Macaca mulatta: one gene and its partners. Each later gene encodes a partner of the first gene's protein in a complex. Links are inferred from orthologs where the notes say so. Each region holds a gene or a part of one and is shown in the gene's direction. Other genes may lie near its edges.

What was found.
Region 2: TAF10 (region 1) and TAF11 share a complex: the UniProt entries of both Homo sapiens proteins name them as parts of the TFIID basal transcription factor complex. The link is inferred for Macaca mulatta from reciprocal best matches to the Homo sapiens genes TAF10 and TAF11.
Region 3: TAF10 (region 1) and TAF7 share a complex: the UniProt entries of both Homo sapiens proteins name them as parts of the TFIID basal transcription factor complex. The link is inferred for Macaca mulatta from reciprocal best matches to the Homo sapiens genes TAF10 and TAF7.
Region 4: TAF10 (region 1) and TAF4 share a complex: the UniProt entries of both Homo sapiens proteins name them as parts of the TFIID basal transcription factor complex. The link is inferred for Macaca mulatta from reciprocal best matches to the Homo sapiens genes TAF10 and TAF4.
Region 5: the proteins of TAF10 (region 1) and TAF8 are in contact, whole or in part, in a crystal structure (PDB 4WV4), measured with the Homo sapiens proteins. The link is inferred for Macaca mulatta from reciprocal best matches to the Homo sapiens genes TAF10 and TAF8. Residues at the interface, in NP_006275.1 of Homo sapiens: Pro115, Leu116, Phe119, Leu120, Leu123, Tyr126, Thr127, Thr129, Ile130, Pro131, Val134, Thr135, Tyr137, Tyr138, Leu139, Ala142, Gly143, Phe144, Glu145, Ser147, Asp148, Arg150, Ile151, Leu154, Ile155, Leu157, Ala158, Ala159, Gln160, Lys161; in NP_612639.2 of Homo sapiens: Arg33, Thr36, Leu37, Val40, Ser43, Leu44, Leu45, Ala48, Gly49, Phe50, Glu51, Ser52, Ala53, Glu54, Ala56, Ser57, Thr60, Leu61, Met64, Leu65, Gln66, Tyr68, Ile69, Ser70, Ile72, Gly73, Arg74, Ala76, Lys77, Cys80.
Region 6: TAF10 (region 1) and TAF5 share a complex: the UniProt entries of both Homo sapiens proteins name them as parts of the TFIID basal transcription factor complex. The link is inferred for Macaca mulatta from reciprocal best matches to the Homo sapiens genes TAF10 and TAF5.

What each region holds. Positions count from the first base shown.
Region 1 is NC_133419.1:59,170,777-59,173,984, forward strand, and holds TAF10 (transcription initiation factor TFIID subunit 10), read left to right. Parts: upstream 1-1,377; 5' UTR 1,378-1,389; coding exon 1,390-1,621; coding exon of another isoform or gene 1,622-1,636; intron 1,637-1,759; coding exon 1,760-1,914; intron 1,915-2,129; coding exon 2,130-2,194; intron 2,195-2,278; coding exon 2,279-2,393; intron 2,394-2,570; coding exon 2,571-2,660; 3' UTR 2,661-2,708; downstream 2,709-3,208. Other genes in the region: scaffold protein ILK, read right to left, coding at 2,971-3,120. UniProt on the Homo sapiens protein: The TFIID basal transcription factor complex plays a major role in the initiation of RNA polymerase II (Pol II)-dependent transcription.
Region 2 is NC_133409.1:147,388,278-147,392,246, forward strand, and holds the start of TAF11 (transcription initiation factor TFIID subunit 11), read left to right. Parts: upstream 1-1,169; 5' UTR 1,170-1,203; coding exon 1,204-1,374; intron 1,375-3,969. UniProt on the Homo sapiens protein: The TFIID basal transcription factor complex plays a major role in the initiation of RNA polymerase II (Pol II)-dependent transcription.
Region 3 is NC_133411.1:150,152,934-150,156,968, reverse strand, and holds TAF7 (transcription initiation factor TFIID subunit 7), read left to right. Parts: upstream 1-1,243; 5' UTR 1,244-1,975; coding exon 1,976-3,025; 3' UTR 3,026-3,535; downstream 3,536-4,035. UniProt on the Homo sapiens protein: The TFIID basal transcription factor complex plays a major role in the initiation of RNA polymerase II (Pol II)-dependent transcription.
Region 4 is NC_133415.1:114,771,960-114,775,459, reverse strand, and holds part of TAF4 (transcription initiation factor TFIID subunit 4), read left to right. Parts: intron 1-2,314; coding exon 2,315-2,482; 3' UTR 2,483-3,500. UniProt on the Homo sapiens protein: The TFIID basal transcription factor complex plays a major role in the initiation of RNA polymerase II (Pol II)-dependent transcription.
Region 5 is NC_133409.1:140,083,374-140,087,502, reverse strand, and holds the end of TAF8 (transcription initiation factor TFIID subunit 8), read left to right. Parts: intron 1-3,494; coding exon 3,495-3,609; downstream 3,610-4,129. UniProt on the Homo sapiens protein: The TFIID basal transcription factor complex plays a major role in the initiation of RNA polymerase II (Pol II)-dependent transcription.
Region 6 is NC_133414.1:115,532,789-115,535,967, forward strand, and holds part of TAF5 (transcription initiation factor TFIID subunit 5), read left to right. Parts: intron 1-28; coding exon 29-158; intron 159-2,135; coding exon 2,136-2,300; intron 2,301-3,179. UniProt on the Homo sapiens protein: The TFIID basal transcription factor complex plays a major role in the initiation of RNA polymerase II (Pol II)-dependent transcription.

The sequences.
Region 1 (3,208 bases):
TAGGGCTACATTCTCTTGAAAAGTACAGCGTCCTTACTTCCGGCCAATCCCCAAATCATCTTCCAGAGTAAAATGCAAATCCCATCAGGCCACTTGGATGAAAACCCTTCAAGGATTACTGGATAGAGTTCAGGCTTTTTATTTTCTTCCCCCAATCATAGCTCACAAACCTTCGTTGCTATTTGTTCCTAAGTAACAAATCATTTTTCCTCCTCCCTCCCCAAACCCCAAGGAACTCTCACTCTTGCTCAAGCTGTTCTGTCCCCTTAATACCACCCCTGATACAAACTGCCTGGTTAATTTCCAGAATTCTTACAAGATTCAGCTCAGAAGTCACCTTCTCTCGTGAATGTTTTGATTCCCTGAGGCTACTTCATTTTGCTATGGCTGAAAAATCCTAGATTTTCTAAACAAAACCTGTTTGAATCTTGGTTCTGATATGGACTGGGAGAGAGACTGGGTCAAGCAAGTTTATCTCCCTGAGGCTGTTTCCTCGTCTGTTAAGTGGGAATATTACCTGCCTTTCCTAATCACCAGGGAATAAAGTGGAATAATGTTGATAAGAGTACTTGGCACCTGGAAGTAGGTGGCAGATGTTAATGCCCTTCCTCCCTTGCACTGCGACCCCTGTGTCTACCTCTAGTATTGTAACGACCACATAGTATTGAAATAGCCACTTTACTTGTCTGGCTTCCTTTCCAAGACCGTTGGTGCCTAAAGGACTAGAATCGTGTTCTATTTAACTTTGTATTCCCAGGTCCTAGCTCAGGAGTTGGCAAATAAGAATTAAATATCTGCTACATTGAAAATCTCACGCCTTTCACTCGTTGTGATTTTTGCATACGTTGTCGACTTAGGCTGAAACCCCTCCTCCTTCTACAGCAGCACTGTGGGCCGCCCCACTGCTGCCCCCACCTCTCGGGGCAGTTGGTGGAGAAGGGCGGGGGGCTTTCCAAATCCACTATGAATCCTTACAAGGCTGAATAAGGGAACTTGAAAGGATGCAGACAGGCAGGCAATCCGTAGTCGAGGGATGTAGGGCCCATAAACCTCGAAGCAAGGTCTTGAGCGTCAGACAGAATGAGGTGTCCCAGAGCGGCGGAAGAGTCCCGGACGCACGCTGCTTCTAGTCTCGACGGAATCGCCACCGAGCACCGCAGAGGCTAGGGCGGAATGGCGACGGCAGCGCAGTTCGCCAAGGCTTGGTCTCCGCCCTTCAGCCTATTTCCTCTAACCCGCAGACCCACTACCAGAGGAGGCGGGGAGCGGGCTGGAGAGCACTAACAGTGACAGGCGGGGCGAGTCGAGGGCGCGTGACGTCACCCCGGGGTGTGCGCGGCGCGAGCGGAAGCGGAAGCGGCTCTGTTCGCCGCCTCTCCCACCGGCCCGATGAGCTGCAGCGGCTCCGGCGCGGACCCCGAGGCGGCGCCGGCTTCCGCCGCCTCGGCCCCGGGCCCGGCACCCCCGGTCTCGGCTCCCGCAGCGCTGCCCGCCAGCACCGCTGCGGAGAACAAGGCCAGCCCCGCGGGGACAGCAGGGGGGCCTGGGGCTGGAGCAGCTGCTGGGGGCACGGGACCCTTGGCGGCGCGGGCCGGGGAGCCAGCTGAGCGGCGTGGGGCGGGTGAGGGCCTGACGGGTGAGGGCGAGGGAAGCGTCTGGGACTGGGCCCAGCGGCGGGTGAGGGCAGCGGGTATAGACAGACCTCGCTGGGGCCCTGCGCCTCCCACCTCTGTGTCTCATTTTGCTGGTTCTCCTCCAGCTCCGGTGTCGGCGGGTGGCGCGGCGCCCCCAGAAGGGGCCATGTCTAACGGGATTTACGTACTGCCGAGCGCGGCCAACGGAGACGTGAAGCCGGTGGTGTCCAGCACGCCGTTGGTGGACTTCTTGATGCAGCTGGAGGATTACACGCCTACGGTGGGCTTCCGCCCGAACAAGGCCACCTAGCCTGCTGTCACAACTTTCAGCCACATCTCCGTGCTTTTCAGCACCCTCTGATGTTTGCTTCCGTAGTCGCTCTTGTTTTTGCCCTCTGCTCACCCAAATCGTGAGCTTCCTGATAACCAGGTCTATCCGACATTTCCCTCACCCTCATCCCACTCTGCTGACAGTTCTCTTAATTGATTTCTTAGATCCCAGATGCAGTGACTGGTTACTACCTGAACCGTGCTGGCTTTGAGGCCTCAGACCCACGCATGTGAGTAAACCCAGGGCAGGTTAGTTTTGGGTGCTTGTGCAGTGTGTTGTCCATCTCCTTCTCATCTAAGTTTTTTCTCTCTAGAATTCGGCTCATCTCCCTAGCTGCCCAGAAATTCATCTCAGATATTGCCAATGATGCCCTACAGCACTGCAAAATGAAGGGCACAGCCTCCGGCAGCTCCCGGAGCAAGAGCAAGGTGTGAGGGGAGGCTCATTGAATCACTAATTACCTTCCACAACAGTGGAAGCTTATCCTGCCACCCCTTTGGGGAAACTGAATCCTAGGGGAGGTGTAAAACTTACTCAGGGTCACCCATCTGGGATTGAAGTGTGGGATTCCTGTGCTCAGTTGGTGCTCTTCCCTCTTCCCTCAGGACCGCAAGTATACTTTAACCATGGAGGACTTGACCCCTGCCCTCAGCGAGTATGGCATCAATGTGAAGAAGCCGCACTACTTCACCTGAGCCACCCAACCTAAATGTACTTGTCTGTCCCCATGTCCCCACACCAGCCTGTTTTCATAATAAACTTTATTGTGACAGGCGGGGCTGATCCCTCCCATGTTGGGAGACACCATGTGGCAAGTGACAAAGCTCTGAGCCCGCCCCTTTTGGGGCCACAGTGGTAGGGATGGGGGAAGGGGATGGACCCCATGGCTGGGGTAGTACCATGACTGGAGGCAGGGGAGGCAACCAGAGGTCTGCTGCTTTGGGGAGGTACATTCCCCCAACCATGTCCTGACACCTCTGGAGTTCAGGCAAGGGCCTTCCGGTCCTACTTGTCCTGCATCTTCTCCAGGATAGGCACAATCATGTCAAATTTGGGTCGCTTTGCAGGGTCTTCGTTCATGCAGATCTTCATGAGCTTACACACATGAGGGGAAATACCTGGTGGGATGGTAGGCCGAAGGCCTTCCAATGCCACCTGTGAATACAAGAAAAAACTGAGCCTCACAATTTGAGTCTGTCATGTAGAGAGAAGCCACTGGCCCCTGGGACAGGATAACTGTATA
Region 2 (3,969 bases), on another chromosome or scaffold:
CTGTGCCGAGACAGGCCTCACGGGTTATGGGGACAGCGCCTTGTGGGTCCCCATTATATAGGTGGAAAGGGACAAACAGGCCCACCTGTACGCGCCTCCCGAAGTGCGCTCCTTCCCTAAACGTTTTGGGAGCTCCTGGGACAGGAAATACGGCAATTCGTCCAGGCAGCGCAGAAACAAAGAGATAAATATGGTAACGCGCACCTACATTTCCAAGGACATTCTTTAAGCACGCATAAATTAAATATGTAATAGGTGCTGGGACCTAGTCATACCCAGGTGAATAAAACGCCCTCCCCCTCGTATCTCTATGAGGGAAGAGAAGAAAATTTTAAAATAGAAATATCCTCACCACTTCATCCTCCCAGTACATGAACTAGTTCGTTAAAGTGAAACGTTCGAAGGAGACACCTTCCTCTCTTTAGGCTTTCCTCTTAGTTTTGGTAAGATTAACCAAAATGATAGAAAAGTGTCAGACTTGTAGAAACAAACCTCAATCTTGAATACTTGCGAACTGAAAAAAAATCATTTAATTGGATAGAAACTATGTGTGTTTTGTTCCCTGGTACTAGCACTGTTTCTAAATCGAAGTACGCAGTCAATAGTTGTGGATGAATAAATGAATTGGATAAATTCTGCTCAAGCTAGATGACTTTTTGTTGTTAAGGTGCTTGCTGAATGGAGCGGAAATGCTAGCAATTCCACGTACACACAGACCCGCGGTTTCGGGCCAGTTGAAATACACAAGGTTGAGTCTTGCCTGAAAGTTTACCAATCCCGGGTAGCCTCATTCCACGACACCGCCATACAACGGAACTGAGTTTTCTCCCGATCCCCCAACTTTACTCTGAGGGGTTAACGAAGGGATTAACTGGTATTGAATTTTTAGACAGGCGAAAAGGAAAAAGTTATTTAGTAAACAAAACTGCGCTCCTTCACAAGTGCTGGTTTCCTAGCTAGGAGGATCCATAGTCTGAGCTCTTTACGTCCAATTTTCCCGCTTCCCACTGTCGCCAAACCAAAGTTAAAATGAGTCCTCTAGTCCTCTACGCGCGCCTCAAAATGACCCCTCAGGAGAGCGGTAGGGGTGATGTCATCGCTGCGCGACGACAGGAAGTAAGATACTGTCCTGTGCAGCTCGGGGTTCCGAGCTTCTGCCTCAGACATCGCCGCGATCTCCTCTCCCCTCCAATCCTATCCGTGATGGACGATGCCCGCGAGTCGCCCTCCGACAAAGGTGGAGAGACAGGGGAGTCGGATGAGACGGCCGCTGCGTCCGGGGACCCGGGGGCTACCGACACGGATGGAATCCCAGAGGAAACTGACGGAGACGCAGATGCGGACTTGAAAGAAGCTGCAGCGGAGGAAGGCGAGGTAGGAAGAGATGTATCGATGAGGCTGAAGGAATACCCAGAGATCGTGTTACTGGGTGCTTGCCGGGCTTCTGGTTAGTCCCTCCCAAGTTACGAGAACTCGAACTCACCAGAACTCCCTCCAGATCGTTAATCTTGAGGGGGAAGAGAGCGGACGACCAAACAGAACTCCAGTGCTGGTTCCGTTCCAGAGGCTCAAGCACTGCGTTAATATTTTTAGTCTTGTCAAGGGATTAAAGCTACTTCTAAGGGAGTTTTAATAGCCTATTGGCTTTAGTGGTGAGGAAACTGGGATCCAGTGTCACACTGAGACGCAGTGCAAGAGCTAAAACCCAGGATTCGTAGCACCCCTTTCACCGCAATATGGTTCGTCTTAGATGTTAAGACAACTTTGTTTCTTTATAGGAAGGAGGGTCGATCAAACCTGTCAAAGGGAGATAGACTTTTATAAAAGTGTCGCCCGGGCTGTAGTACAATGGCGCGATCTCTGGCTCACTGCAACCTCCGCCTCCCGGGTTCACGCGATTCTCTTGCTTCAGCCTCCCAAGTAGCTGGGATTACAGGCTCACACCACCATGCCCGGCTATTTTTTGTATTTTTATTAGAGACGGGGTTTTACCATGTTGGCCAGGCTGGTCTCGAACCCCTGACCTCGTGATCCGTCCGCCTCGGCCTCCCAAAGTGCTGGGATTACAGGCGTGAGCCACAGCACCCGGTGATCAGGGACCCATCAGTTGGGTCTGGTGTTTTTATGCTACAGAGAGTTCAGCAGTGTTGCCTAGCTGAACATTGGTCAGGACCAGAAACTCATCGTTCTCTGGATTACATTTCTGGAAGTAGAATCTTGGGGTCTTAGAGCTAGAAGGGATTTAAGAGATCGTGGGGTGAACAGTAGATTAGATGGAAATAGCCTTTCAGTGTATAAAGTTGCATAAAAATGTATAAAGTAAGAACTTTTAGAAAAAGAGAAAATTTGGCCGGGTGCAGTGGCTCACGCCTGTAATCTTTGGGAGGCGGAGGTGGGTGGATCGCCTGAGGTCAGGAGATCCCCAATATGGGGAAACCCTGTCTCTACTAAAAATACAAAAATTAGCTGGGCATGGTGGCAGGCGCCTGTAATCCCGGCTACTTAGGAGGCTGAGGCACAAGAATCGCTTGAACCTGGGAGGCAGAGGTTGCAGTGAGCCGAGATCGCACCACTGCACACCAGCTTGGGTGCCAGAGTGAAACTCCGTCTCGAAAAAAAGAAAAAGAGAACATTTGACAAAAGTATTTTAAGGCAGGTTTCTTTTTTTGTTTTTGTTTTTGTTTTTGAGACTGAGTACTCGCTCTGTCACCCAGGCTGGAATGTGCAGTGGCGCGATCTCGGCTCACTGCAAGCTCCTTTAAGGCAGTTTTTGTTGGTTTGTTGAGACAAGGTCTCACTCTGTCACCCAGCCTGGAGTGCAGTGGCACAGTCTCTGCCTCCTGGGCTCAAGCAACCCTCTTATCTCAGCGTCCGCAGTAACTGGGATTGCAAGCATACTGCACCACGCTCAGCTGAAGTTTTTGTATTGTTTTGTTTTGTTTTGTTTCGTTTTTGAGACGGAGTCTCGTTCTGTTGCCCAGGCTGGAGTGCAATGGCGCAATCTCGGCCTACTGCAACCTCCGCCTCCCAGGCTCAAGTGATTCTCCTGCCTCAGCCTCCCCAGTAACTGGGATTACAGGCACGTGCCACTGTGCCCAGCTAATTTTTGTATTTTTAGTAGAGCCAAGGTTTCACCAAGTTGCCCAGGCTGGTCTTGAACTCCTGACCTCATGATCCATCTGCCTCAGCCTCCCAAAGTTCTGGGATTATAGGCATGAGCCACCGCACCTGGCCAGCTAAAGGTTTTTTAAATATTGTTTTGGTAGAGACAAGGTCTCATTATATTGCCCAGTCTGGTCTCCAACTCACTGGGCTGAAGTAATCCTTCCGCCTCAGCCTCCCAAAGTGCTAAGATTACAGGTGGGAGCCACCATGCCTGGCCAAGAAGGAAACTTTAAAACAGGTGTCAAGGACAGCAAGGATTTGAATAATTAGCTTGGTACACTAGAGAGCTCACTACATATATAAATTTGCACCGAACAGAGGATAAAATTATGTTGTTTCTGAAACACTTTTAAAAATCAATCATGTACTAGACCATGAAGAAAAATATGAATTCTTAAAAGATATCATAACAGGCCACATCTTGTTAATGCAATGCATTAAACTTGAAATTAACTACAAAAAGCTTCTCCCCCACCAAAAAAGAACCCCCTGGAAATTTTAAACTACTTTTTAAATAGCCTTTAGACTAAAGAAATTAACAGAACACTTTATCAAATGATATGGGATTTGGCCAAAGCTTTATTTAAAGAAAAATGTATAGCCTTACATATTTTTATTAACAACCAGAAGATACTGCAAATAAGCACCTGACTCAAGAGACCAGATAAAGGGCCTAGTGGAGTGGGTCACACCTACAGACCTAGCTACCTGGCAGGCTGACACAGGAGGATCGCTTGAGGCTGCAGTGAGCTATGATCCAGCCTGGGCAACAGAGTGAGTCTGGGGAAAAAACAAACAAACAAA
Region 3 (4,035 bases), on another chromosome or scaffold:
GAAATTAAATGTTAATGGCCTTGATGCTCTACCAGATATTTTAAAAATAAATGGAAATAAATAGAAATAAGTACCAACTGTTACCCAGTTATGTCAAAATACTAAAAATATGTGTTGATGAATACCTGACCCTCCAAAGAAAAGACAAGCACAAAACAGCAAAATAGTAGAGGTGGAGTTAAAAAAAAAGTCAAAGTATTTAAAATTACTTGTACATGAGAAGCAGGAAACAATACTTCAATTATGTCTACTTTAACCAGATGCTCAGTCTATCAGACAATTCTGTCCAAAATGAACCTGTGCTTGCAGAAGAACACTTCCTTCTCTGCTTACATTTACATCTAAATCAAGCATATAAAAAGGAATCACCCTTGTTTCCTCAGGAGTATTACAGAACAGAAGGAAACCCAGAGGCACAATTCCCCTACAGGGAATTATATTAAACAAAATATAGACTTTGGGCCAGGCACGGTGGCTCACACCTATAATCCCAGTACTTTGGGAGGCCAAGACAGGCAAATCACCTCAGGTCAGGAGTTGGAGACCAGCCTGGCCAACATGGTGAAACCCCTTCTCTACTAAAAATACCAAACTTAGCTGGGGTAGTGGAAGGTGCCTGTAATCCCAGCTACTCAAGAGGCTGAGGCAGGAGAATCGCTTGAACCCTGGAGGTGCAGATTGCAGTGAGCCAATATTGTGCCACTACACTCAAGCCTGGGTGACAGCCTAGACTCCATTTCCAAAACAAACAAACAAACAAACAAAGAGAGGTTTAGAATTATATAGTGAGCTCCATGTCCTCCTCACTCCACTGATTTGGGTTCTTTAAAATCCATTGTATAGTAGCTACACATTCTTGTATTGGCACCAGATTGGCTAGACCCTAGGAAGCATCCGAGATGTTTCCAGAAGCAAAGACGCTTACTGCCAGGCGTCCCCCATCTCCCGGAATCACCCGGAAGTCTAGAAGCCATCCGGCCCCACAGCGATCCCTTAAAAGTGCTGGCTTAGCGGGGGACGAATCCGTGTCTTTCTTGTAACTTCCAAGCGCTAAATAGTTTGAAACCAACAGCTCTTCGAAAACACTATCATTTTCATCCCAGAAAAGCAAGTTCTCGCGAAAAGACGAGTTTCACGCTGGGCAGCGTAATTGCGCTATTGCGCCTGCGCGCGCCGGGGCTCCGCCCTTCCGGCCGGAGGGGCTGTCACTCACATCCACCTCCCGCCCCGCGTCGTGACGTAGCACTTCCGTTTTCTCTGGGCAAGCGGTCGAACGGAGGGCCGGCGAGGTGCCGGGTCTGGTTCTCCGAGCTGCGCCTCTCGGCAAGATTTCGCGTTGCCCATCCTGGGCTTTCATCAGTAATCGATAGTGGATCACTCTGCCAAGCGGCAGGAAGAATTAAGGAAACGACAAGGAGACGCTTGGCTGCCTCCCGCTTTGCTCCTTGCGGCCTCCTCTTCCCTTCGCTCCGGCCCGGTGAAACTGAACTTATAATCGTCACTGGATTGTAAGTACCCGAGGCGAAGAGAGCTCACTGAGCCCTGATGTTTTGAGTGTCTGTTCCGGGAGAGTTTGTAAATTGAGAGTATCTCTGCTGGCCTTTCTGGGCCGAAAACCGTTCCGCGGGAGCCGCCATTTGCTTTCCTGCTTCTTAGCTAGGTAGCTGTCTCCGCGTTGTCGGGCAGCGGCACCTAGAGGTTGGGACTTGGCATTGCATCTGATTTAATGAACTTAAGTCTGTGAATAAGCCTTTGTGTTAACGACTGGTATTTGGTCACAGCATATTTAGAGAAAAGACTTGGAGCTTAAATAAAAACGAAGGCAAAATAGACGCTAAGCTGCTGATCTACAGAGAACTTCTTGTAATTAAAATATTTCAATTCATAGCGAACTGGTGTTTTAAACTATTGCAGTAGCTGGAACTTTTTACGGTAACCATCATTTATTGGAGAAGTGAGTCACAAAGAAATAAAAATGAGTAAAAGCAAAGATGATGCTCCTCACGAACTGGAGAGCCAGTTTATCTTACGTCTGCCTCCAGAATATGCCTCTACTGTGAGAAGAGCAGTACAGTCTGGTCATGTCAACCTCAAGGACAGACTGACAATTGAGTTACATCCTGATGGGCGTCATGGAATCGTCAGAGTGGACCGTGTTCCATTGGCCTCAAAATTGGTAGACCTGCCCTGTGTTATGGAAAGCTTGAAAACCATTGATAAGAAAACCTTTTACAAGACAGCTGATATCTGTCAGATGCTTGTATCCACAGTTGATGGTGATCTCTATCCACCTGTGGAGGAGCCAGTTGCTAGCACTGATCCTAAAGCAAGCAAGAAAAAGGATAAGGACAAAGAGAAAAAGTTTATCTGGAACCACGGAATTACTCTGCCTCTGAAGAATGTCAGGAAGAGAAGGTTCCGGAAGACAGCAAAGAAGAAATATATTGAATCTCCAGATGTGGAAAAAGAAGTGAAACGATTGCTGAGTACAGATGCTGAAGCTGTTAGTACTCGGTGGGAAATAATTGCTGAAGATGAAACAAAGGAGGCAGAAAATCAAGGCCTGGATATCTCTTCTCCAGGAATGTCTGGTCACAGGCAGGGCCATGACTCATTAGAACATGATGAGCTTCGGGAGATATTCAATGACCTCAGCAGCAGCAGTGAGGATGAAGATGAGACCCAGCATCAAGATGAAGAAGATATAAACATCATTGACACTGAGGAAGATCTGGAGAGACAACTACAGGACAAGCTAAATGAATCAGATGAACAGCACCAGGAAAATGAGGGAACCAATCAGCTGGTTATGGGAATTCAGAAGCAGATTGACAACATGAAAGGCAAGCTCCAAGAGACCCAGGACAGGGCAAAACGACAAGAGGATCTCATCATGAAAGTGGAAAATCTGGCTCTCAAGAACAGATTTCAGGCTGTACTGGATGAGCTCAAACAAAAGGAAGACCGAGAAAAGGAGCAACTCAGCTCTTTGCAAGAAGAGCTAGAATCACTCCTAGAGAAGTAAAAAGAACTGATTCTTAATTTCAGTGTTCAGACTGATCAGCATTAGAAAATTCTTGGCTTTATTACTTGTACTGGATATTAACACCTTGCACTTCCTAGTCCCTCTAATGCTGTGTGTTCTGTTAAGTTCTTTCATTTGTTTATAGTTTTGTTTTTCAGCAAATTTACATTGTTTTGCTAGGTGTTCATCCTATAAGAAGCAGGATTGTATAGGCAGAAAAATGATAGTAGGAAAGTTGCAGGATTAGTGGAATGTATGGTTCAACCTTAATTATAGCTCCACTGCAGGACTTTGCTGTTTCTCCATTTTCTAGAAGCTGCTGTTGCTGCCTTATGATGACATGAGATCAATAAGAAGAACCTAGTCTAGAGACAGTGATGCTAGTTTGCATATGTTTTCCCATGCAATAGCTGTTTTCCCAGTTACTCAAAGCAGTTTCCCATATGTAGAGATGCAAATTTTATTAAGTTGTTTACAATACAATAAATAAAAGCATCTGTTTTTCACTTTGTAGTGTATCTTGTTCTTTCATGGTTGGTGGGAGTCAGGTCCCTTTTGAGGTGGTTTCGTGGTGGAGTTTAGTGACTAAGAAATTTGATCCAGTTCTGCAGGTAGAGGCAGTTTGGTTTATGAAAAAAAGCAACACAGCAGGGGTAAAGAAATTGGGAATTGTCATGTTTGCATCATATTAAGATTCCAGTTCTATCTGATCTACTTGAAAGCTGGGAAACATTAGATACAGAGCTTTCTTAAACTACCCTAATTTTTGTAGATGAAGGCCTTTGTGCCTTTTTTAAAAAGCTTACTAAATCTACCTGCACAAAATGTTGGAAACAAAGCAGTGGTTATCAAGTGCAGTCCAATGAATCATTCCATTGGTTTGGATTAAGATTTTATTTCTATTTTTCTTCAGTTGAGTTCTTATAATTAATAATCTGAGAACTGAGGTCATTTATCAATGTCATTTCATCAAAATTGCTCATAAAGTAAGTCGGTACCAAATTTCTCAT
Region 4 (3,500 bases), on another chromosome or scaffold:
GCACCGTCTCGCCCTCACCCTTGGTTGGTCTCGCCCCTTCCCTTGATTGGTGCTGACACTTGGCATTAGAATATCTTGATTTCCGACCCTCAGCAGCCCTTAAATTGCGCACCTGGAATGAGCGTCTCCCCTTCACCCCAGTCCTCTCTTTTGGCAGCTGAACTATTTTGAAGGTAGAAGCATCAAACACAGTGTGGAATTTATAGACGGTGTCACTGGGTCGCACAGCCTGTTAGGGTGGTGCGTGTGAGAGCCCTGCCCTCACCCTGCAGACTGTCACTCGCCCCGCCTGAGTTCTCTTTTGGGAGGCCCGGCCTCAGGTGAGGATCAGTTTGTAATGAGCTAGTGTGGAGCGTGCGGAGGCTTCAGTAGCAGAGGCACCTGGGGCAGGTCTGAAGAAGGGCCCTCACAGTGCAGGGCGTCTGAGGGAGACAGGTGCCCTCTTCTGTTTGAATCTCACAGGAAGAAAGAAAATGTAGTGGGTCGGAGTCACACTTGCACGCCATCACACAGGCAGCCATGCTCCCAGCCTGAACTGAAAGTGGCAGAGCGGGGACGGGAGGAAGGACGGGATGAGGGGTGCCACATCAGGGCAGCCCGGGCGTTGCCTGTGGCTGTTCACGGCAGGGCTCCCAGTGGCGTGCAGAGCAGAATCAGCTACTTCCAGCGTCTTAACTTTGGTTGAGAATGTGCCATAAAGATGCCATTGTAATCTTTGTACTTAAATATACGTGAGCAGCTTTCCCCATCAGAGCAGACCTTAGTTTTCATGCCAGATGGGGAAACCACAGCCGTTGGGAGTTGTGTGGCTTGTGCCCCCCGGGCGGTGCTGTGTGTGTGTGTGTGGTGTGTGCCCCGCTGGGCGGTGCCGTGTGTGTGTGTGTGTGTGTGTGTGTGTGTGTGTGTGTGTGTGTGGCTCGTACCCCCCTGGGCGGTGCCGTGTTTGTGTGTGTGTGTGTGTGTGTGTGGCTCGTGCCTCCCTGGGCGGTGCCGTGTGTGTGTGTGGCGCGTGCCCCGCTGGGCGGTGTCGTGTGTGTGTGGCTCGTGCCCCCCGGGCGGTGCCGTGTGTGCGTGTGTGTGTGTGTGTGTGTGGCTTGTGCCCCCCTGGGCGGTGCCGTGTGTGTGTGGCTTGTGCCCCGCTGGGCGGTGTCGTGTGTGTGTGTGGCTTGTGCCCCCCGGGCGGTGCCGTGTGTGTGTGTGGTGTGTGCCTCGCTGGGTGGTGTCGTGTGTGTGTGTGGCGTGTGCCCTGCTGGGCGGTGTCGTGTGTGTGTGTGGCGCGTGCCCCGCTGGGCGGTGTCGTGTGTGTGTGTGTGTGGCGCGTGCCCCGCTGGGCGGTGTCGTGTGTGTGTGTGGCGCATGCCCCGCTGGACGGTGTCGTGTGTGTGTGTGGTGTGTGCCTCGCTGGGCGGTGTCGTGTGTGTGTGTGTGGCGCGTGCCCCGCTGGGCGGTGTCTGTGTGTGTGGCGCGTGCCCCGCTGGACGGTGTCGTGTGTGTGGCGCGTGCCCCGCTAGGCAGTGTTGTGTGTGTGTGTGTGGTGCGTGCCCCGCTGGGCGGTGTCGTGTGTGTGTGTGGCGCGTGCCCCGCTGGGCGGTGTCGTGTGTGTGTGGCGTGGCCCCGCTAGGTGGTGTCGTGCAGGTGTCATCAGCTGAAACCACCAGAGCTCTCCACAAGAGCTGGCACCCAGCAGCTATGCTTCTCCAAGCAGGAACACATCTGAGGCAGCTCGGGAGGCACCTGGTCACCTAGAGGGGCTGATGGAGGCAGGGTCTGTGCAGCAGGGCCCAGCCAGAGGCCCAGGGATCACTGTGGGAGCCACTGAGCAACTCAGCCTTCGCAGCTGACCTAGCATGCCCAGTCCCAGCCGACCCCAGCCCTTCCAGTGCGGGAATTCAGCAGCCAAGCAGGATGACACACAGGGACCCCGTGTGGCTTTTGTACCCCAGCTGAGTCCACATGCAGTCCAGCTGTGGTTGCATGGAGGGTGGCCCTGGGGCCGCTCAGACATTTGCCTTGGGTGGGTGCCACCCCCTGGTCCATCCTCAGCCCCAGGAGCAGGTCTGAGCACTGTGGGGCATTGGGCAGTGTCTGAGTGTGCCCTGTCCTGAAGGCGCAGCATGAGGCCTCCTGCCCTTGCCCCTGCCCTGGCAGGGCCCTGGGACAGCACCTCAGCTCCAGCTGTGGGCCTACCGGAGGGAGCCCATGCCAGGCCTGGCCTCCTCTGGAATCGGGGTACTTGGTTCAGACACACAGGCCCCCATTTCAAGCCCCACTCTGGGCCCCACTAACACCCTGTCTTCTCCGTTTTTGTCACCAGGGGTCGGGCCCCGGCTCGGTGGTCCCAGGCAGCTCGGGGGTCGGAGCCCCCAGACAGTTCACGCGACAAAGAATCACGCGGGTCAACCTCAGGGACCTCATATTTTGTTTAGAAAATGAACGTGAGACAAGCCATTCACTGCTGCTCTACAAAGCATTCCTTAAGTGACACAGGAGGACGCCTGGGGACTTTTTATATATTTGCAGATTACGCCTTTTTGTAACAAGCAAATGGGATATTGTTTAAAAAACAGCCACCTCTTTACGATGGAACAGTTTTATATTTTCCTGTTTCTAAATCAACTCTTCAGTGTGAAAGAAAATACGTGTCTGTAACAGAGAGAACACAAAGGCCTGTGGATACTCTTAAAGGACAATTAAATCTTAACTCATCTTGATTGAGTGGCCTTCTTGCCAAACAAGCCATATATAAAGACTGATGGAATCGTTAGCAAATAATTAGCTGCCCTCTGTCAACTCATAGCAGTTTCTGCATTATTTGTGCATTTTGGTTTAGTTCTACCTAACTTACTGTGTAGGTGTATGTCTACAGCCGATGACCTCATTTTATTTTATTTTTGTAATAGTCAGTTAGCAAAGCAAACTGATTTTTTAGACTATTTATCTTCCTTCCCCTCCCCTCTCCCCCTACCCTCCTCTCCCCCTCACCCTCCTCTCTCCCTCATCCTCCTCTCTCCCCACCCTCCTCTCTCCCCACCCTCCTCTCTTCCCCGCTCCCCTCCCCTCTCCTCCCTCCCCTCTTCTCCCCTTCCCTCTTCTCCCCCTTCCCTCTTCTCCCCCTTCCCTCTTCTCCCCCTTCCCTCTTCTCCCCCTTCCCTCTTCTCCCCCTTCCCTCTTCTCCCCTCCCCTCTCCCCCTCCCCTCTTCTCCCCTTCCCTCTTCTCCCCCTTCCCTCTTCTCCCCTCCCCTCTCCCCGTCTCCCCTCTTCCCCCCCCCACCTCCCCTCTCCCCCAGCCCTCCCCTCTCCCCCCAGCCCTCCCCTCGTCTCCCTTCCGCTCTGCTGAGAATCCTGGAGGAATATACAATTCATCGTAGCACCCCCACCTCAGAGTGTAATCGAATTTCTGCTTGGTAGAGGCGGGGCCCAGCAAAGGTGGGCTCCTTCTGAATGTGTGGTCAGCATCTGTACAAATGCATTTTATTTGCTATAGTTTGTAAAGCTGTAAA
Region 5 (4,129 bases), on another chromosome or scaffold:
TGGCTCTGTCGCCCAGGCTGGAGTGCAGTGGCCGGATCTCAGCTCACTGCAAGCTCCGCCTCCCGGGTTTACGCCATTCTCCTGCCTCAGCCTCCGGAGTAGCTGGGACCACAGGCGCCCGCCACCTCGCCCGGCTAGTTTTTTGTATTTTTTAGTAGAGACGGGGTTTCACCGTGTTAGCCAGGATGGTCTCGATCTCCTGACCTTGTGATCCGCCCGTCTCGGCCTCCCAAAGTGCTGGGATTACAGGCTTGAGCAACCGCGCCCGGCCGAGTCTTCAGTTTTAAGTGGGGTGCTCGGAGTAGGCATTACCGAGAAGGGGATATGTGAGCAGGGGCTTGAACTGGGTGAGGGAGTGAGCCATGCGGATATCTGGGGAAGAGTACTCTGGCAGAGGGAATGGGCAGTGCAAAGGCCCTGTGGAATAGTGAGTGGCTTGTGGATTGGGTAGGGCCTTGCAGGCTGTTTTAAGAACTGACTTTTAACTAAGTGAGATGGGAGTTGTGGGAGGGTGTGGAGCAGAGGAGGGACATTTCTGAGCTTCTTAAAGCATCACTCTGATGGCTCGGTGAGAACGGACTGGAGAGATCAGTCAGGAAGCTGTTGCTATAGCCTAGGTGAGAGGCAGTGGTGGGCCCAAGCAGAGTGGTTGCCACAGAGGTGGTGGAAGTGGTCAGTACCTGCCTGAATTTTGAAGGTAAGTCCAAAAGGCTGTGCTAACAGATTGGGGGTAGGATGTCAGAGAAAGAAAAGAAGTGTGCCAGATGTGGTGGTTCATGCCTGTAGTCCTAGTCACTCGGGAAGCTGAGGCAGGAAGATTGAGCCCAGAAATTTGAGTCCAGTTTTGGGCAACGTAGTGAGACCCTATTTAAAAATAAAAGAAAGAAAACAAGCAAGAATGACCACAGAGTTTGTGACTTGAGCCATTAGAAGGATGGAGTTGCCATCACCTGTGATGGGAGGGACTAAAAAGCGCCGTTTACTCACAGGGGAAGGTCCCCAATTCAGACTTAGGTGCCTGAAGTCCAAGCTGCCTGTCTGACACCCCAGTGGAAATGCTGAGTGAGCTGCTGGCTGCATGAGTCTGGAAGTCGGCAGAGGTGAGGGCTGGCAGTGTACTCCAGGGAACAGTTGGCATGGAGATGGCACGGAGAGCTGGGAGACCGGATGCAATCACCACAGAGGGTTTAGGGCTTGCTAGAGCTCAGAGGCAATTCAGGGAGCGCCTGATAGACCATTCTGCTCTCACCTTTTTAACAAATCTCTGGGTCAGTTTGACACTTTGCTTTTTTGTTTTTTTTGAGATGGAGTCCCGCTGTGTTGTCTAGGCTGGAATGCAGTGGCACGATCTCGGCTCTGCAACCTCCAACTCCCGGGTTCAAGAGACTATCTTGCCTCAGCCTCCCGAGTAGCTAGGATTATAGGCACCTACCACCATACCCAGCTAAATTTTTTTGTATTTTTAGTAGAGGCGGGGTTTCACCATGTTGGCCAGGCTGGTCTCGAACTCCTGACCTCAGGTGATCCACCCGCCTCGGCCTCCCAAAGTGTTGGATTACAGGCATGAGCCACCCCGCCTGGCCTACTTTTTTTACTGACTCCCCCACCCCTAACCGTCTCAATGCTGTGTATCGCTGAAGGGGACATTTCTGTGAGGTCTGCTTGGGAGAAGGAAGCCTGTCATCCTGCGCTCATGAGCCATGGTGAGCCGAAGGGAGGGAGCCTCTGGACCCACCAGCAGTGTCTTGAAGCTGTCATTTTCAGCACCTCTAACAGTGTCACCTCTATCTGTATCTCAGAAAACACTGAAGGCACGGTTGAAATGAACTTCCATTAACTTTGAAGATAGGCTGTCTACTGTAGAGAAATGATAGGGTGGACAGAGTGGGGAGATACTACTCTGTTGCGCCATTAGGAACTTCAGAAAGGTTGGATGCCAAATACCCGAGGGAGTTCTGGTTATGGGCAGACCTTTTTTTCCGGCACCTGGTCTGGCCTGAACTAGGTTGGTCCTGCAGCACTTGCTTTCAAGAGTTTCCAGAAGGCCCCAGTGGCTCTAGGTCACCTTGTGGTCCCACTGGATTGGGTGCTGGAGAGGGAAAGTACATAGGCCCTGATACTGGGCCAATGGAACTGGGTCTTTGAAGAGAACAATTGATAGGACAGAGAGAGGGCATGTGCCGCAGGGAAACCTAGACGTGATCTGGTTTCTTCCGGCTCATTAAACCTGAGACTGGTGTCCATGCCCTAGGCCAGCTGTCCTGTCGGGGGAACCTGCTGTTGATTTCATGCCGTCTGGTCACGGCGCCCTCTGTTTTGACAGCAGCCTCTCCTGCTTGAGGTCAGTGAGGGCCTCTTTGGCCTCAAGTTGCAGAACAGGAAGAGGAAGCTCAGTGACTTCTTCCCCGTGGAAGAACTTCTTCCCTGTGGAAGAACTTCTTCCCCTTGGCCCATCACCAGGGGGCGCACCCCACCAAACATGGAAAACAGAGGAGCCTGTGAATAAAGAAAGGAGAACTGACTGATCATACTCCCAGAACAGTTTTTAAAATGTCAGCATATTACCTTTTTTTCTGTGTCTATACACAACTGTGACTTTTTAAGAATTTTGATCATACTGATTACATGTGAACTTACAAACTTTTCTGAAAAACCACATTTTTCTCAAAAAATGAACAGTAAAAAACCCTGCCTCAGAGTTCAAGACCAGCCCAGCCAACTGGTAAAACCCCGTCTCTACTAAAAACACAAAAATTAGCCGGGTGTCATGGCACATGCCTGCAATCCCAGCTACTTGGGAGGCTGAGGCAGGAGAATTGCTTGAATCCGGGAGACGGAGGCTGCAGTGAGCTGAGATTGCACCATTGCACTCCAACCTGGGTGACACAGGGAGACTCCGTCTCAAACAAACCCTGCCTCATGGGTTGCAGATAGGCATTACCAATGATGTGCATGTGCTGTACCTGCAGACTCTGCTTCCCTTAGTGGAACCCTCAGGGCTCTAGAGGTTTCTGGCCTATGCTGGGATGTGATCGTTGGGACCATGTTACAAGTACCAGAAATGTGAGAATTTGAGGAGGAAATCTGTTCTGACTTAGGCTAGCTTGGCCAGGAGATACCCTATGCAAATGATGTGTTCTGATCCTGTATCTCCCAGTCCTGCTGGGCATCCTCCCTGGGGCATCTGAGTTTGATTCCTGTCCCTCTCAGGTCTCTGTTCTTTCTAACCCCTGTCCCTGCCTTCTCCAGAGGTTCAAGACTCTCGACTCTGTTGTGTGCTCTTCTAGGTCAAGGCTGTTAGTCTTGCCTTCCCTTCATAGCCAGCCCCTGCCTGGGCCTCACTTCATCAGGGGCAAAGACACGAACATTGGAAAGAAGGTGCTTCCCAGGTTCTAATTTCTCTGTTAGAGGATGCTAATGGTCATTCCAATTATGGGCATGATCTCTTGCCTTATGCTGTTGGTGTTGTGCTTTATTTTGGCTTTTGCTCAAAGGAGGATTCTGGAGCCGAGAAGGAGAACACCTCTGTGTTGCAGCAGAACCCCTCCTTGTCGGGAAGCCGGAATGGGGAGGAGAACATCATCGATAACCCTTATCTGCGGCCCGTGAAGAAGCCCAAGATCCGCAGGAAGAAGTGAGTCGGAGGCTGGGGTCCAGAGAGCCTTCATTGTCCCACCGAGGTGGTCTTCTCAGCTCCTTGGTAGAAAAGAGTCTCCTCAGTGGGGCTGAGCCTTGGGGAGAGCCACTTTGGTGAGGGAATAGTCTCCCTTTTCCTGTCTTACTTGGCTCCCGTACACAGCTCTCGTTCCTTAGTGGTTGAGTGTCCTGCAGTCTAGGGACCAACCCTCACAGCACTGGAGCTGTTTTCCCCTAGAAGGAGAGCAGACAGGGCCCCCACCAGGAGGCTCCATGGTTCCTCTTCTTTCTAGGTCCCTCTCCTGAGCTGAGAAGGAAAACTGGCTTGTACGGGGGCGCAGATTCCACCCTCCCAGGGAGTTAAAGCCACTCAAGGGAAGAAAAGAGGGTGACCTCCTCATGGCCGAGCCAAGGCTGCAGGGTGTGATCGGACATGATTTTCATGGCAAACCGTCTATTAAGATGACCTATTTTCACTGGATGTTTGGGTTGA
Region 6 (3,179 bases), on another chromosome or scaffold:
AAACATCAATATTTCTGGACCATTTTAGATCTTAGTCTTATAGACAAAGAATCAGATGATGTCTTAGAAAGAATCATGGATGAGAAAACAGCAAGTGAGTTGAAGATTTTGTATGGTCACAGTGGGCCTGTCTATGGAGCCAGCTTCAGTCCGGATAGGTAAAATACAAACAATAAAAATTAAATACTGCTATGTTATATTGAAATTATATAAAAGTCAACTACTGGAAACATTATGCAAATACTGGGAAAATTCTGATAAAAATCTCATGGTTGTCGTTCATTATCTTTTAGAATCTTGCCGTTTGCTGATTCATCTTTGAATCCTGATGTTTGTACACGGTAGCAATTTAATGTATACTCTTTTTTTTTTTTTTTTTTTTTTTTTTTAAGACGGAGTTTCACTCTTGTTGCCCAGGTTGGAGTGCAATGGAGTGATCTCGGCTCACCGCAACCTCTGCCTCCTGGGTTCAAGTGGTTCTCCTGGCTCAGCCTCCCAAGTAGCTGGGATTACAGACCTGCGCCACCACACCTGGCTAATTTTGTATTTTTAGTAGAGACGGGTTTTCTCCATGTTGGTCAGGCTGGTGTTGAACTCTCAACCTCAGGTGATCTGCCCACCTTGGTCTCCCAAAAGTGCTGGGACTACAGGCGTGAGCCACTGCGCCCGGCCTGTATACTCAAATTTATAGAATCAAAATGCACAGTTTCAGAGCTTACTGGTTTTAAAAATTAGCTTTAGTATTTTCTTCTTTTCTTTTTTTTTTTTAAATTATTTTTATTTGTTACCCAATGGTAAATAACCAACCAAAGCTTTAGTTTTATAGAACTCCATTAGGGGTTGAAATGCTTCATTGGGTCCCTGCATTGTGTCTTCTGGCTGCTTCATCAAATTTAAGACAAATTCCTGACATTAATGGCATATTAGCTAGTAATTGAGGATTTATCTTTCTATAATCAAAAGTACTAAGAGTAAATGAAAAAGGAAATTCGAAATTAGTTTTGTTTCCCTTTAGGTGTATGATTACAATGTCATCCTATGTGTATAGGTATTTGCCTATTTTTCATGATCTCTAACACTGTAAAAATGGGGGGAGGGTGTTTTGTATTCATAATACCCTTAGTATATTACTTGGATAGATAAAAGCTTTCAGGCCAGGGACAGTGGCTCATGCCTGTAATCCCAGTACTTTGGGAGGCCAAGACTGGCGCATCACCTGAGATCAGGAGTTCGAGACCGGCCAACGTGGGAAATCCCGTCTCCACTAAAAGTACAAAAATTAGCAGGGCATGATGGTGCCCGCCTGTAATCCTGGCTACTTGGGAGGCTGAGGCAGGAAAATCATTTGAACCTGGGAGGCGGAGGTTGCAACGAGCCGAAATCGCACCACTGCACTCCAGCCTGGGCAAGAAGAGCTAAACTCCATCTCAAAAAAAGAAGAAAAAAAGATAATAGCCTTCCATTCATCAAGATTTCATCATTATGAAACTTTGAGAATTAGGTTTTTTGTTGTTTGATAAGGTTTTGCCAGATGATACATTTTTACTTGAGGAAACGTCTGATTTCAGTGAAAACTGTAATACCTTCTGACTACCAATCCGTTGTGTTTATCCTTGAAAAAGGTAGAGAATTATTAGCATGTCTATAGTGTTTTTTTTTTTTCTTCAAAAGACATTTCCTTTTTAATTCTTAAATAGCATACACAGCATAGGAAAATAGCATCTTTATTTTAGGGTCAAAACTTGTTGAGTTTTAAGTGACATATCACATTTCCTAAACTTTCTCAATTGACCTTACTTGACTATACTTTGTTAATTACCCCAGTACTTTTTTCTTGTAAAGAACTGATTTTCCGTAAGTTTCTGTATCATCTTACCTCATTCAGTAGGTGCTCGGTATATGTAGAGTGTCAGAGCTAACATTAGTTTGGTTAGTTCTTTCAGTTGATACCTACTGTGAATTGCATGAATGAATTAAAAGTGAGATGTAGCATGTTAGCTATATTTAATATATTCAAATGTATGTAAAATATTCAAGTGTATATAAAATATTTAATGTATTCAAATGTATATAAAACTGGACAGGTGACCAAAGGTTACTCTGGGAGTCAAATATATTACCTTCTCTTCTCTCAGGAACTATCTGCTTTCCTCTTCAGAGGATGGAACTGTTAGATTGTGGAGCCTTCAAACATTTACTTGTTTGGTGGGATATAAAGGACACAACTATCCAGTATGGGACACACAATTTTCTCCATATGGATATTATTTCGTGTCAGGGGGCCATGACCGAGTAGCTCGGTAAGAACACTGTGATCTTATGACTGGGTGTATTCAATGAATAGAATGGTTTCTTGTTGGGAATTACAGCAGCCAGCCAAATTCATTTACACTTCCATTGTTGAGGATCAACTTTCTGAGAAGCTTTTGCATTTATAACTTATTTGAAATTGGGGCCGGGCGCAATGGCTCACGCCTGTAATCCCAGCACTTTGGGAGGCCGAGGTGGGCGGATCACCTGAGGTCAAGAGTTCGAGACCAGCCTGGTCAACGTGGTGAAACCGCTTCTCTACTAAAAATACAAAAATTAGCTGGGCGTGGTGGTAGTCGCCTGTAATCCCAGATATTCAGGAGGCTGAGACAGGAGAATTGTTTGAACCCAAGAGGCGGAGGTTGCAGTGAGCTGAGGTCGCACCATTACACTCTGGCCTAGGGGCAAGAGCGAGACTTCGTCTCAAAAAAAAAAAAAAAAAAGAAATTGGGGCAGGAGTATTATTATATCTGCAATTACATCTATATGAATCCTGGTTTTTAAAAAATAGTTAATTAACAGTCCTCCCTTCCACCCCCATCAGATGCTTAACCTTGTCTTCCATACCACTGTGAGCACCTTTATGTTTCTCTGTCATCTTCTTAGAAGTTGAGGATAAGGTAGTTCAGGTTAGAAACTATTTGGCCAGGTGCAATGGCTCACGCCTGTAATCCCAGCACTTTGGGAGGCCAGGAGTTCCAGACCAGCCTGGCCAACATGACGAAACCCCGTCTCTACTGAAAAAAAAAGAAAAAATACAAAAATTAGCCGGGTGTGGTGGCACATGTCTGTAGTCTCAGCTACTCAGGAGGCTGAGGCAGAATTGCTTGAACCCAGGAGGTGGAGGTTGCAGTGAGCCGAGATTGCAC